Sus scrofa: one gene and its partners. The protein of the gene in region 2 purifies or fractionates together with the protein of the main gene of each other region. This does not show direct contact. Links are inferred from orthologs where the notes say so. Each region holds a gene or a part of one and is shown on either strand. Other genes may lie near its edges.

The links. The genes of interacting proteins can lie anywhere in the genome.
Region 1: the proteins of RNF185 (region 2) and ERLIN2 purify together in Homo sapiens (affinity purification with mass spectrometry; 5 studies listed by BioGRID and IntAct, with this or other methods). This does not show direct contact. The link is inferred for Sus scrofa from reciprocal best matches to the Homo sapiens genes RNF185 and ERLIN2.
Region 3: the proteins of RNF185 (region 2) and TMUB2 purify together in Homo sapiens (affinity purification with western blotting; 3 studies listed by BioGRID and IntAct, with this or other methods). This does not show direct contact. The link is inferred for Sus scrofa from reciprocal best matches to the Homo sapiens genes RNF185 and TMUB2.

Annotation. Positions count from the first base shown.
Region 1 is NC_010457.5:48,648,756-48,652,613, forward strand, and holds part of ERLIN2 (erlin-2), read right to left. Parts: intron 3,278-3,858; coding exon 3,204-3,277; intron 3,022-3,203; coding exon 2,963-3,021; intron 2,314-2,962; coding exon 2,222-2,313; intron 1,420-2,221; coding exon 1,330-1,419; intron 1-1,329. UniProt on the Homo sapiens protein: Component of the ERLIN1/ERLIN2 complex which mediates the endoplasmic reticulum-associated degradation (ERAD) of inositol 1,4,5-trisphosphate receptors (IP3Rs) such as ITPR1.
Region 2 is NC_010456.5:47,945,052-47,949,361, reverse strand, and holds the start of RNF185 (E3 ubiquitin-protein ligase RNF185), read right to left. Parts: upstream 2,979-4,310; 5' UTR 2,815-2,978; intron 1-2,814. UniProt on the Homo sapiens protein: E3 ubiquitin-protein ligase that regulates selective mitochondrial autophagy by mediating 'Lys-63'-linked polyubiquitination of BNIP1.
Region 3 is NC_010454.4:19,018,876-19,021,301, forward strand, and holds the end of TMUB2 (transmembrane and ubiquitin-like domain-containing protein 2), read right to left. Parts: intron 2,231-2,426; coding exon 1,864-2,230; 3' UTR 766-1,863; downstream 1-765.

The DNA of each region.
Region 1 (3,858 bases), on a different chromosome or scaffold from region 2:
CTGCTCATCTGTATTTACAGGAAATAAAAATGTGCTGTTTGGGAGTTCCCTGGTGGTCTAGTGGGTTAAGAATTGGTGTTGTCACTGCTGTGGTACAGTTTGATCCCTGGCCTGGGAACTTCTGCAGGCCACAGATGCAGCCAAAAAAAAAAAAAAAAAAGGTGCTAAGAACTCCTGAGTGAGGAGCTGCTATTCTGTAGAATCCTAAGTAGCTCTTCCCTGGGCCTCTGCAAAGCCTGACAGGCCCCGTCATGATTATAAATGGACATAGCACTTTGTAGCCTGTAGCTGGGCCCTAAGATCCTGTTTCTGGCCTAGAATTTGTGTGATATAAGGCACCACATGGAGAAGGTGGGGTTGAGGTGAGGGCTTAGGGGCAGGGAACTGAAGGCGAGTGATATTCAGAAAAGTGGCACAGGAATTCCTACTGTGGCGCAATGGGATCTGCGGCATCTATGGAGCACTGGCTTTGATTCCTAGCCAGGCATGTGGGTTAAGGATCTGGCATTGCTATAGCTATGGCTTAGGTTGTGACTGTGGCTCGGATCTGATCCCTGGCCTAGGAACTCCATATGCTGCAGGGCGGCCAATAAAGAAAAAGAAGTGGCACAGAAAGCACTTCTCTTCCGCTTGTCTTTTTGGTGCTGAAAGGTGTCTTCACACCCACAGGGACCCGGAGAGACCAAAGCTGCGGAGTTCATGGACTCTGAGGAGGGGGAGGGGAAGGCAGCAGGGAACAAGTTGCTGCTCTGACCTGGCTCCTCCATTTACTTCTGAGGCCAGGCTGTGAACCCAAGACCGCAGGGACCATGTGACTGCCTTTCCTTCTAGCCCCGCCTAGCTAATGTCTGTTGAATGAGTGACTCTCTCTGATGTGGAAGATGAATGCCAGCCTGGCCCCAATCTCCCCCAATCTCGAATCAGAGCACAGAGAAAATGTGATGCTCCAAAGAAATTGTGATATCCGGAGTTCCCGTCATGGCTCAGTAGAAACGAATCCGACTAGGAACCATGAGGTTGTGGGTTCAATCCCTGGTCTCGCTCAGGCGGTTATGGATCCAGCATTGCCTTGACCTGTGGTGTAGGTCGAAGACGCAGCTCGGATCTGGCATTGCTGTGGTGTAGGCCGGTGGCTACAGCTCTGATTCGACCCCTAGCTTGGGAACCTCCATATGCCATGGATGCAGGCCCTAAAAAGATGAAAAAAAAAAAAAAAAGAAACCGTGACATCCGAGGAGAGCTTAAGGAGTAAGGGAAAGGACTCTCCCACCCACTGGTGGCTGAGTGGGGCCTGAGGAAAAGGCAGGCTCAGTTTTCACCTTTGCTCACCTTCGATTTCTGAAATCTTCTTCTCCGTCTCCTTCTCCATCACCTTCTGCCCGTAGGTGATTTCTGCAACCTGAGCCACTTTCTCTGCCTCTGTGTTAATCAAGTTGAGGAAAGGCTTAGAGCGCTGACACTTCAAAAAAGTTTGACTCCAAGCACCTTTCACTTGACCCAAGGGTCTGCTGCAGGGCATGGGTGAGCTCTAGAGAAGAGCCACTGGCTTGGGGGAGAGCCATGGCAGGCCGCAGGGGCAGGGATGGAACGGGGTGTCAGCGCCAGGCAATGCCCAGGGGACCTGGGCCAAAGGGAAGAGTCCTTCCTTTGACAAGGAGCAAACCCTTTAAGTCACAGGGTATTTCTTCCAAAGGAATTTTTTAAGCACTAAGGCACTCTCTAAAAAGTTTCCTCCGGCTGCTGCACTTTAGGAGGTAGCTAGGGTTGTGGCCAATAGTCTAGTGCAGTGGTGCAGAACCCAGGTTCGGGAACAGAGTCGCTGGATTTGAACCCCATTTCCACCACTTCTTCACCTTGTGACCTTGGGCGGTGATTTAACCTCTCCGGCTTTAGCTCCATGAAATGAGATTAATGAGGGTGCCTTCCTCATGTGGGGGTTTTGAGGGGTGAGGTGATTCACACACAAGGCTGCTCATAGGAAAGGCTGGGTGAGCGCTGTTATTATGGGGAATTCTGAATGAACAGGAAGGGTTCCTATATGGAAACTCAAAACTTTTGACCCCTGGCCATGATCTGGCAGTTTCAGCTATGCTTCCGGGGTGATAAGTGCCACCCCTGCATGTGGTGGGGCTTTGGAGGACCCCGCTCCAGGCTTCCCTGAATGTCCCCACCCTCCCCAGCCCCTCTGCGCTGAAAGGGGGTCCCAGAAGCACATTCAGACCAATGAGGGCCTTCTTCCGCTCTGTCTCGGCCTCCTTCTCCACCACCTTCTGCTTCTGGGCTGCAATGAGAAGCTTTGTCTTCTCACTTTCCCTGGAGGGGAGAAAAGTGTGCATTGGGAGGCCACTGGAGATGAGCTTCCACAGAAATTCCACTGTCCGGGGAGAAGCCAAACTCTCCCACCGAGGGAGGCAAGCTGTGATTTCCTCCTCTCTGCTGGGAGGCTTTTTTGTTTTTTTAAAATTTTTAATTTTTTGGCCATGCCTGCAGCATGTGGAAGTTCCCCATCCAAGGATAGAACCCATGCCACAGCAGTAGCCAGAGCCACAGCAGTGACAATGCCAGATCCTTAACCCACTGAGCCACTAGGGAACTCCTGAAAGGCCGTTTAACGTTTCAGGTAAAAGGAGGTCTGCTGCAGACAGTCACAGGTCTCTGCGCCGCCTCCAAAACTCATGCAGGAAATAAAGCATAATTTACTATAGTAAAGGGTACCCGCCTGCCCACTCAATTGCCCTCCCCTGTCTGGCATGAGCCGTGAAGCTCGAATTAGGCTCCCTGGCCCTTTTAAGAGCGTTGCTGCTCTGCGGCTCTCAGTCACAGTCATGGAGCCCAGGGGAGCGTCCCGCCACGCCTGCTCCGTCTCACAGGGCAACTGGCTGTAACAAACACTCAAGACGGGACCACACGCCTGGCACACCGGTTGCCCCTGGAGTGCAGCGGGGGTGCAGGGCATACTCACATCAGCTCATAGTTCCTGCGGATGGCCTCGGGTATGTTGGGCTTTGTCACACGCACAGCCTGGAGAAGGACAGAAATAGCACCTGATGGGAAATGAGGGTGCTGGGGACCTGCTCCTACGGGTCCTGATCATCCAGCACCCGCTGCAAGGCATCCTCTGCAAAAGGGGCAGGCTGTGCCTTCCTGCGGTGGGGGTGCACCTTCCTGAGGGGGAGGGGTGCTCCCATCAGGGCGACGCTTACTTGGATGACAAGCCCAGGGGCCATGGAGGTCAGATCCTGCTGCAAAGCCAGTTTGAGATTTTCATCAATCTGATCTGGAATCAAGACACACAAAAAAGCAGCTGTTACGCTTTCTGGCCTTGGGGGCAGAGTGCAAGTCAAGACACCAGCCCAAGAACACACCTGGCAGACAAAAGGTCTTCCTCCCAAGGCTGTGTGCTCATCAGTGCCCAGACCCCCAAAGACCACCCAGCCCACCCCTTGGGACTCTTGGGGCGGAAAGCCCACGCCGTCCTGCTACATGAGCAGATGTGAATGTCCTTTCCCTGGGGCCTCAGGAAAATATCAACCTTGCCCAAGAGGGAATTGAGCTTTAAAAAGAAGAACAAACATAATAACCTATATGGGAAAAGAATCTTGAAAAAGAACGGATATGTGTATATGTATAACTGATTCACTCTGCTGTACTCCTGAAACTAATACAACATTGTAAGTCAACTCTACTCCAATAAAATTAAACAAAACAAAACAAACAACAATTAGTGCCTTTCTTGAGTCAGGCAGCAGCCTTTTCCTAGAAAGGGCAGCAAAAGAGAAGGTGGGTGCCACCTTTCACAAAGAAAGGTGGAAAGGCCAAGTAGGTATTTTGAAAAGAGCCAAGCACATTAAATCTAGC
Region 2 (4,310 bases):
GGCCAGTTTTGGTCCACAGGCCATAGACTGCAGACTCATGATCTAGGTTGGAATTTGAAAGTGTGCTTTAATCACCAAAAAAAGAAAAAAAAAAAAGGTGTTTCACATCAATTAAGTCTGGCAACACTAGATTCAACAAGGTTAGACATACCTCTTTATTGCAGGACTCTCAGTACCTTTGACACAATACTATACACGGAGAAGCTCCAAGAAGGGATAATGACATGTAATTTTTTCCAAACTTATTTTTACCACAAAACACTTTTTTCAGAGGTATCTCCTCTTGACTAGAGGCTGAAGAATACGCTATGGAAATGCTGATATAGGTAATTTTTTAAAAGGAAATTTTCATATTGAGAAGTTTTAAAGATACCACTAAATTAAAATCATTTTACTCAACACCTGGATAATATCTCAATAAGTGTTTTACAACTTTTTAAAAAAGTAGGGAACACAAAACAAGAAAGGAAGATAAACACAGGCAGGAAGTCTTGGCTCAAACCCAGACTTTTTTTGTCAAGGGTATGTCAACAGGATTGGGTCATAGCATGGAACCTCTGCTCCATAGGGCAATGTAAGCATTCTAACAGGTTGTTAAAAAGTGATCTGCTTGGAGTTTTGTAAACCATAAAATAAGGAGCTTCGATGTTTTGTTTTTTTCTTTTTATAGCGACACCTTGGGCATATGGAAGTTCCCTGGCTAGTGGTTAAATTGGAGCCGCAGCTGCTGGCCTACGCCACAGCTACAGCGACAGTGTCCAAGCCACATCTGTGACCTATGTATGCCACAGCTGTGGCAACACTAGATCCTTAACCCACTGAGCCAGGCCAGAGTTCGAACCCACATCCTCAGAGACAATGTTGGGTCCTGAACCTGCTGAGCCACAAGAGGAACTCCAGAAACTTTGATGTTTAATTAGAAAACTAATTAGAGAAACGCTAGAAGCATTATCTGCAGATTACATGTAAGAATGAACTAGTAAGTAAAGTCCATCAGAGGACTGGTTTTAAACGTGGATGAAGTTAGCTAATAGATTGCATAAATTCTCTGGGTAGACACATCTGTACAACATGCTGCTGGAGAGAGGATTAAAGGGGGATTTATGTCCTGGGGCTGGGCGGGAGAAGCTGGCTTCAACATCCTCAAGAGGTCTTTCTGACCCAGACTCTTCAATTCTGTGAATCCAAAGAATTCACTGACTTCTCCTCATCAAACACAAAGTCTTCAGATGCATTTCCAAGTTGTTCTAAAAAGTAAGCTACAAACTGATGGGGTGGGGACCCTGTCTAGTTATTCAATATACACTTAAGGAGCCCTTATCAGATGGGCCATTCCAAAGTCCTTGAAAAGGAGGATGGTACACAGGACAACCAGGAAAAGATTATGTACGTTCGGACCCAGTTGCCTCACTTCTAGAAGATGTAGGCTGGGGGGATGGAGATGTCAAGAAAAGAGGACAGAAAAAAAGAAGTCAATCAACACTAGACTCAAAATAACTACTTAGAACCAAACATGTTCATGTTGAAAAGGACGTCCATCTAATACTTAATAGCTCCTTCTATGGGGAGTTCACTACCTTTAGAGGCAATCCATTCTTACACTGTTCACCTCTGACAAGCATGTAGTTATTTCATTAAATCATTTTCCTGTAGGATCCACCTATTTGTCCTCGTTTCTGCCTCTTTTAACATCAAAGATGAGGTAGAAGCTCTCTTCACCATTATAATGTCTGGTCCATTCCACTGCTGTCTTTTCTGGTCTGTTTCCCTCCTCCTTCCCCCCCCCCCCAAGATCCTGAACAAGTTCCAGCTGCCTCAGAGCAAAGACTAGATATCTAGTACTCACAGAAGGAAAGCACTTAAGATCAGTGGGCTTCACAAAGATTTTGAAACCAAATTTATGTTAACAAAGGGGAAACATGGGGAGAGGAGGGATGAATTAGGGGGCTGGGATTGATACATACACACTCCTATATATAAAATAGATGGGTAACACGACCTACTGCACAGCACAGGAAAATTTACTCAATATTGTGTAATGACCTATATGGGAAAAGAATCTGAAAAGGAATGGGTATATGTATAACGATTTACTGTGCTGTATGCCTGAAATTAGCACAACTGTGTAAGTCAACTATATCCTAGTTAAAAAAGAAAAAAAAATCAGTGGGCTTCAAACATCAGTATGCACAGGTCCCCCAAAGCAAACATTCAAACTATAGTTTCCCCAGTTCGGACCCAAATTCTAAATAAGAGGTCTCAAGAGTCCTGCATTGTAGAGTATGCACTCCAGAGGCTGTGGGAACCATATTTAGAGAAACAGGGCCCTGTTTTAGAAAAGAAACTGAGACCTGGCACAGGTAAAGACCCAGTCACACAAATGTATGTCAGTGGTGAAGCCTCAAACCTGGGTCTCTTTCTCCCAAGCCCAACTCTATTCATCCCGCTTACCGGCCTCGGCCTCTCCACTGGGGACAAACTCATTAAAAGCACCTTTACAAGAAAGAGGCGGCCTCGAATGGGAGTCAGAGAGTTAGAGAGAGTCCCTGAGTTCTCGAAGTTAGGAGAGCTTCTGGCAGCCTTTCCTCTTCTTGGAGCCTTAGATTCCCCAAATTGTAATCACTGGACGAAAGACCACAACACAAGCCTGACCTTCCCCTGGGGCGGAGGGCCCGGAACAGAGCCAGCTTGTTGCCTCTGCGTTCCTGGGCTCAGGTGTTGCCGCCCATGGGCCTGGTGAAGGCGGAACCCGGTCCCTCGCCCGCGTCCCTCAACCTGGACGGCCCCTAGCTGCCAACCCAGCCTCTCAAGTACCTGCCTCTGCTCAGCTAACACCGCCGAGGCCACTCCAGTTTGTCCTTCCGTCGGCCGCCCAGCCAGTCTCTCCGCTGGGATAGTCCGTCCCGCCGGACCTCGGGTCCCTCCTACGCGGACTCTGGTCAGCTGACGCAGAGCCGCAGCTTTCCAAGGGACTTCCGTCCACAACCGGAAAAGGTTGGTCCGCTGCGCTGTTCTCCCGCCCAGATCCTGGACTCTAAGGTTCCGCCTGCCGGCAGGAAGCAGAAAAGCGTAGGGGTCACTTGCCAGCTTTTCAGAAAGCCTAGGTCTGTGTAGGGAAAGTACAGACAAGTTTCAAACAGTTTTGTTGCACCAGAATGTAAGGATGATGAGAATACGTCAGAGGATACAGGAGCTAACTTGAAAGAGATCCCATGGCCAAATCGTCGCAATTTGAGAATCAAAATACTTGATAGTAACAGATTTAACTAATTGAATAAAATGGTAACCCATGAGTCTTTACTGGTATAAAAGTGATTGAATAAATGGGGGAGAAGGGGAAATTATGCCTTTTAGTAGAAGCAAAATAACAAATATGATGGAGTTAGAAAATCAATAATGGATGGTAAAACTAGAGGAAGAGAATATTTACACAGCAAAATGTCTCCTATAAATTCCTTTTTGATTACAAAGGGAAAATAGTAGTTTTACATATAATCTCACAGAACAGTAAGTTAATATCACCAGTTGTAGATCAAGTAAAGAGCATGTGCCTCTTAGTAAGATGCACTGAGAAAGAGACAGCATCTCTCCTGTGGTATTTTAGACAAAAATGCATAACTCAGAATTCCCTTGTGGTACAGCAGGTTAAGGATCCAGTATTGTCACTGCAGCAGCTTGGGTCGATTCTCTGACTCAGGTTCCATCTTGGTCCAGGAACTTCCACAAGTTGTAGGGTGCAGCCAAAAAAAATGAGTAACCCATGTTTTGTTTCATGAGGAAGCATGACATAGTCCAGATGGAGAACAGTATACAAAATAATTGTCAGCATCATGAAAAAAACAGAGAAAGACTGAGGAACTGTTCTGGTTTAAAGGAGATTAAAGAGGCATGACAACAAAATGAGATATATGATTGTAAATTGGATCCTGGACTAGCATAAGGAGAGGCAGAATAGGTTTAATGGACAATATTGGGACAAAAGACAAAATTGGAATTTGGATCATGGTTTAGCTGTGACTACATATTGTATCAATGTTAAAATTTCTACATTTGATCATTGTATTGTGGTTATGGTAAGAGTACTTCCTTGTTCTTAGGAAATATTCACTGAAGTATTTAGGGGTAACACAATGTCTCTAGGGAGTTCCTGCTGTGGCACAATGGGATCGGCAGCATCTTGGGAGCCCTGAGACGCAGGTTCAATTCCCGGCCCAGTACAGTGGGTTAAGGATCTGGTGTTGCTACGGCTGCAGCGTAAGTCACAGCTGTGGCTCAGGTTCAATCCCTGGCCATAAACTTTTTAAATAAAA
Region 3 (2,426 bases), on a different chromosome or scaffold from region 2:
TGACGCATGGTTACAAATTGGTTTTTAACCCAAGAATTGTGATTATTTTTTAAAAAGCCAAACGCATTTTGGCAGGAGTTAGAATCAACCCCGGGGCCTGGGCTCCTCTGTTCTCGGCCCTCCACAGCCTTCTCCCTCCGAGGGGAAGCCAGAGGGAAAGGAGGATCCCAGCCGGCCTCCAGCCCGCTCCCGAACCAAGCCTGGGGAGCAGGTTGAAGGTGAAGGGAGGAAGGCCGCGGGCCCCGCTCCCTTCTGAGAGGCAGCTGCAGCTCAGGCCCCCAAATACCCTTTTCCCCTCTGGCCTCTCCCTTTCCCCCTTCTGGTTGGAGGAGGGAGAAGTGGGAAGTAGTTTGGGAACTGGTTTGTCCACATCCACTTCCCCATTGTTCCTTGGCCCGCCCTCAGGGCAGAGCCCCCTGCCCAGGCTGGGTAAGAGATGGGCTTGGTCCAGCAGGGACCCTGAGGGAGCAAACCCCCTTCCTTCCGGGGAGCGCGTGCCCCCCCCTACCATGTAGTTGAACAGGGGCTAGGAGCTCCCCACTCCCTTCCTTCTAACAGCAGGCTGTGTGGGTTTCAATTCCCACCCTTCCCACCCCGGCTAGGTGTCGTCCACCTTGTATCCTATCATGTGTCTGAGTGTGTGTGGGGGGGTTCTGTACTAATTTCCATGGCCGGTGGCTTTTCCTTCCATGCATCACTCCCCCCCGCATGCCCAGGGGCCACCCGCCTGGCATTACCGCATGCTGGGGTCATTGGGGGAGGGGGGTGGGGCTCACGCTGTCCTGTGGTCTTGAAATTTTTATTTTTGCATATGTAATCCATCCTGTACAGGTAGCTAACTTTGTAAACGCTGTGTATTCCCCCTGCCCCCATGGCTGCTGGTGTAAATAAACTGCATCTCCTGTTGGTAGCCTGGCCTACCCACCCTCATTCCCACGTCACTGGGGCAGAGCAAAGCCATTCTCTCAATGTCACAGGAGACTCCACAGCCACAAAATGGAACTTTATTCAGTCACAGATACTGACCATCCAAGAGCCCCAGAGACAAGGGCCTGGGGCCCAGTGCTCCGTACCCGGAGCTCGTCCTTGGAGCTGGGCAGGGTAGGACGCTGGCTGAGGGCCAGAGCTGCCTCTTGCTTACAGCCTTAGGCCTAGGGGAGCAGCAGCTGTGGCCCGGCCTCTCCCAGTGCCGGGGGCTTGGCTTTGTGCCCCAATCCCCTTCCTGACTGAGCTCTATAAAGGACTATTAAAAAAAAAAAAATAAGCAAAGTGCTGTGAAAAAAAGGGAGAACACTGGCAACTGTCCAGAACACAGAACACCCTATTCCGGCTACGGGCTGGAGGGAGAAGGCAGGGGCGGCCAGGTGCCCAGAGGGAAAGCTGACACACACTTCGCTCCTGTGTGTCAAGATGGATATGCCGCTAAGGAACCGAAAGAGCCTCGGGGCTCCCTACACAAGTATGCTGGGGCCATGCTGAGCTGCCCTGGCAGGCAGCCCGGGGTGCTGAGGAGCAGACATGCAGGATAACGGGAAGAGCCAGGGCCGCAGCTGGGAGGGAGTCCTCAGAGCCCAGGCTCCCCACTGAGCAGGGCCACCGGCTCGGCTCTGAACTCCAGGACCTTGAAAGTGAAGGAAGATGACATTCTCATTTCTACCTGAGTTGTGCTTGCACAGAGGGGACGTCCGTACCCTCGTGGACGTGAAGGGGAGGCCCCCACACCTGCCTCTCGTGTCCTGTGGACGAAGACCCACCGCATCCTTCCCACCCTTCCCTCCCAGGCCCTTGGGCCCAGCCCTGGCCAGGAAAGGGGGGAGGCCATAAAGGAGGAAGACCAGGCCTTGCGTCTTCTCCCCACGGTCCTTATCGTCCGTACATCCCAAATACTAGGAAGCTGAAGAAGACAGTGACCCCCACCAGGGAGACAGTGGCAGGTGCTGTGAAGAACTGGCGGTAATTGATGCGGAAGTACCAGACCACACCCAGCAGCACCACGAACACAGGCACCATGAGGCTGCCCACACTGACGCCCAGGCCCGGTGGCTCAGTGGCCGAGGAGGGGGCCAGGGCGGCGGCGGGGCCTGGAGCAGCTGACCCCGGGGGCGAGCGGTGGCAGTGAATCACACAGTTGTCCGTGATGTTCAGGGAACGCAGCGTGCGGCCCGGGTCCTGCAGCAGGCGGCCCTGGTAGATGAGCTTCATCTGGCTCTCTTGTCCAGGGAAGTATTTACTGCAAGGACGAGAGAGGCAGAAGGAGAGACAGGGCGAGCAATGAGACAAGACCGAAAAGCCCGGACCAGCGAAGCAGGGTGAGGGGGTTTCTAAGCACGGGTTTCTAAGAAAGTGCGGGGCAGGACCTGATGCATCCCTGCTGTCCCCACTCTATCCTGGCCTCCTCCGAGGCGACCAAGGGCTGGGGGCTTGGG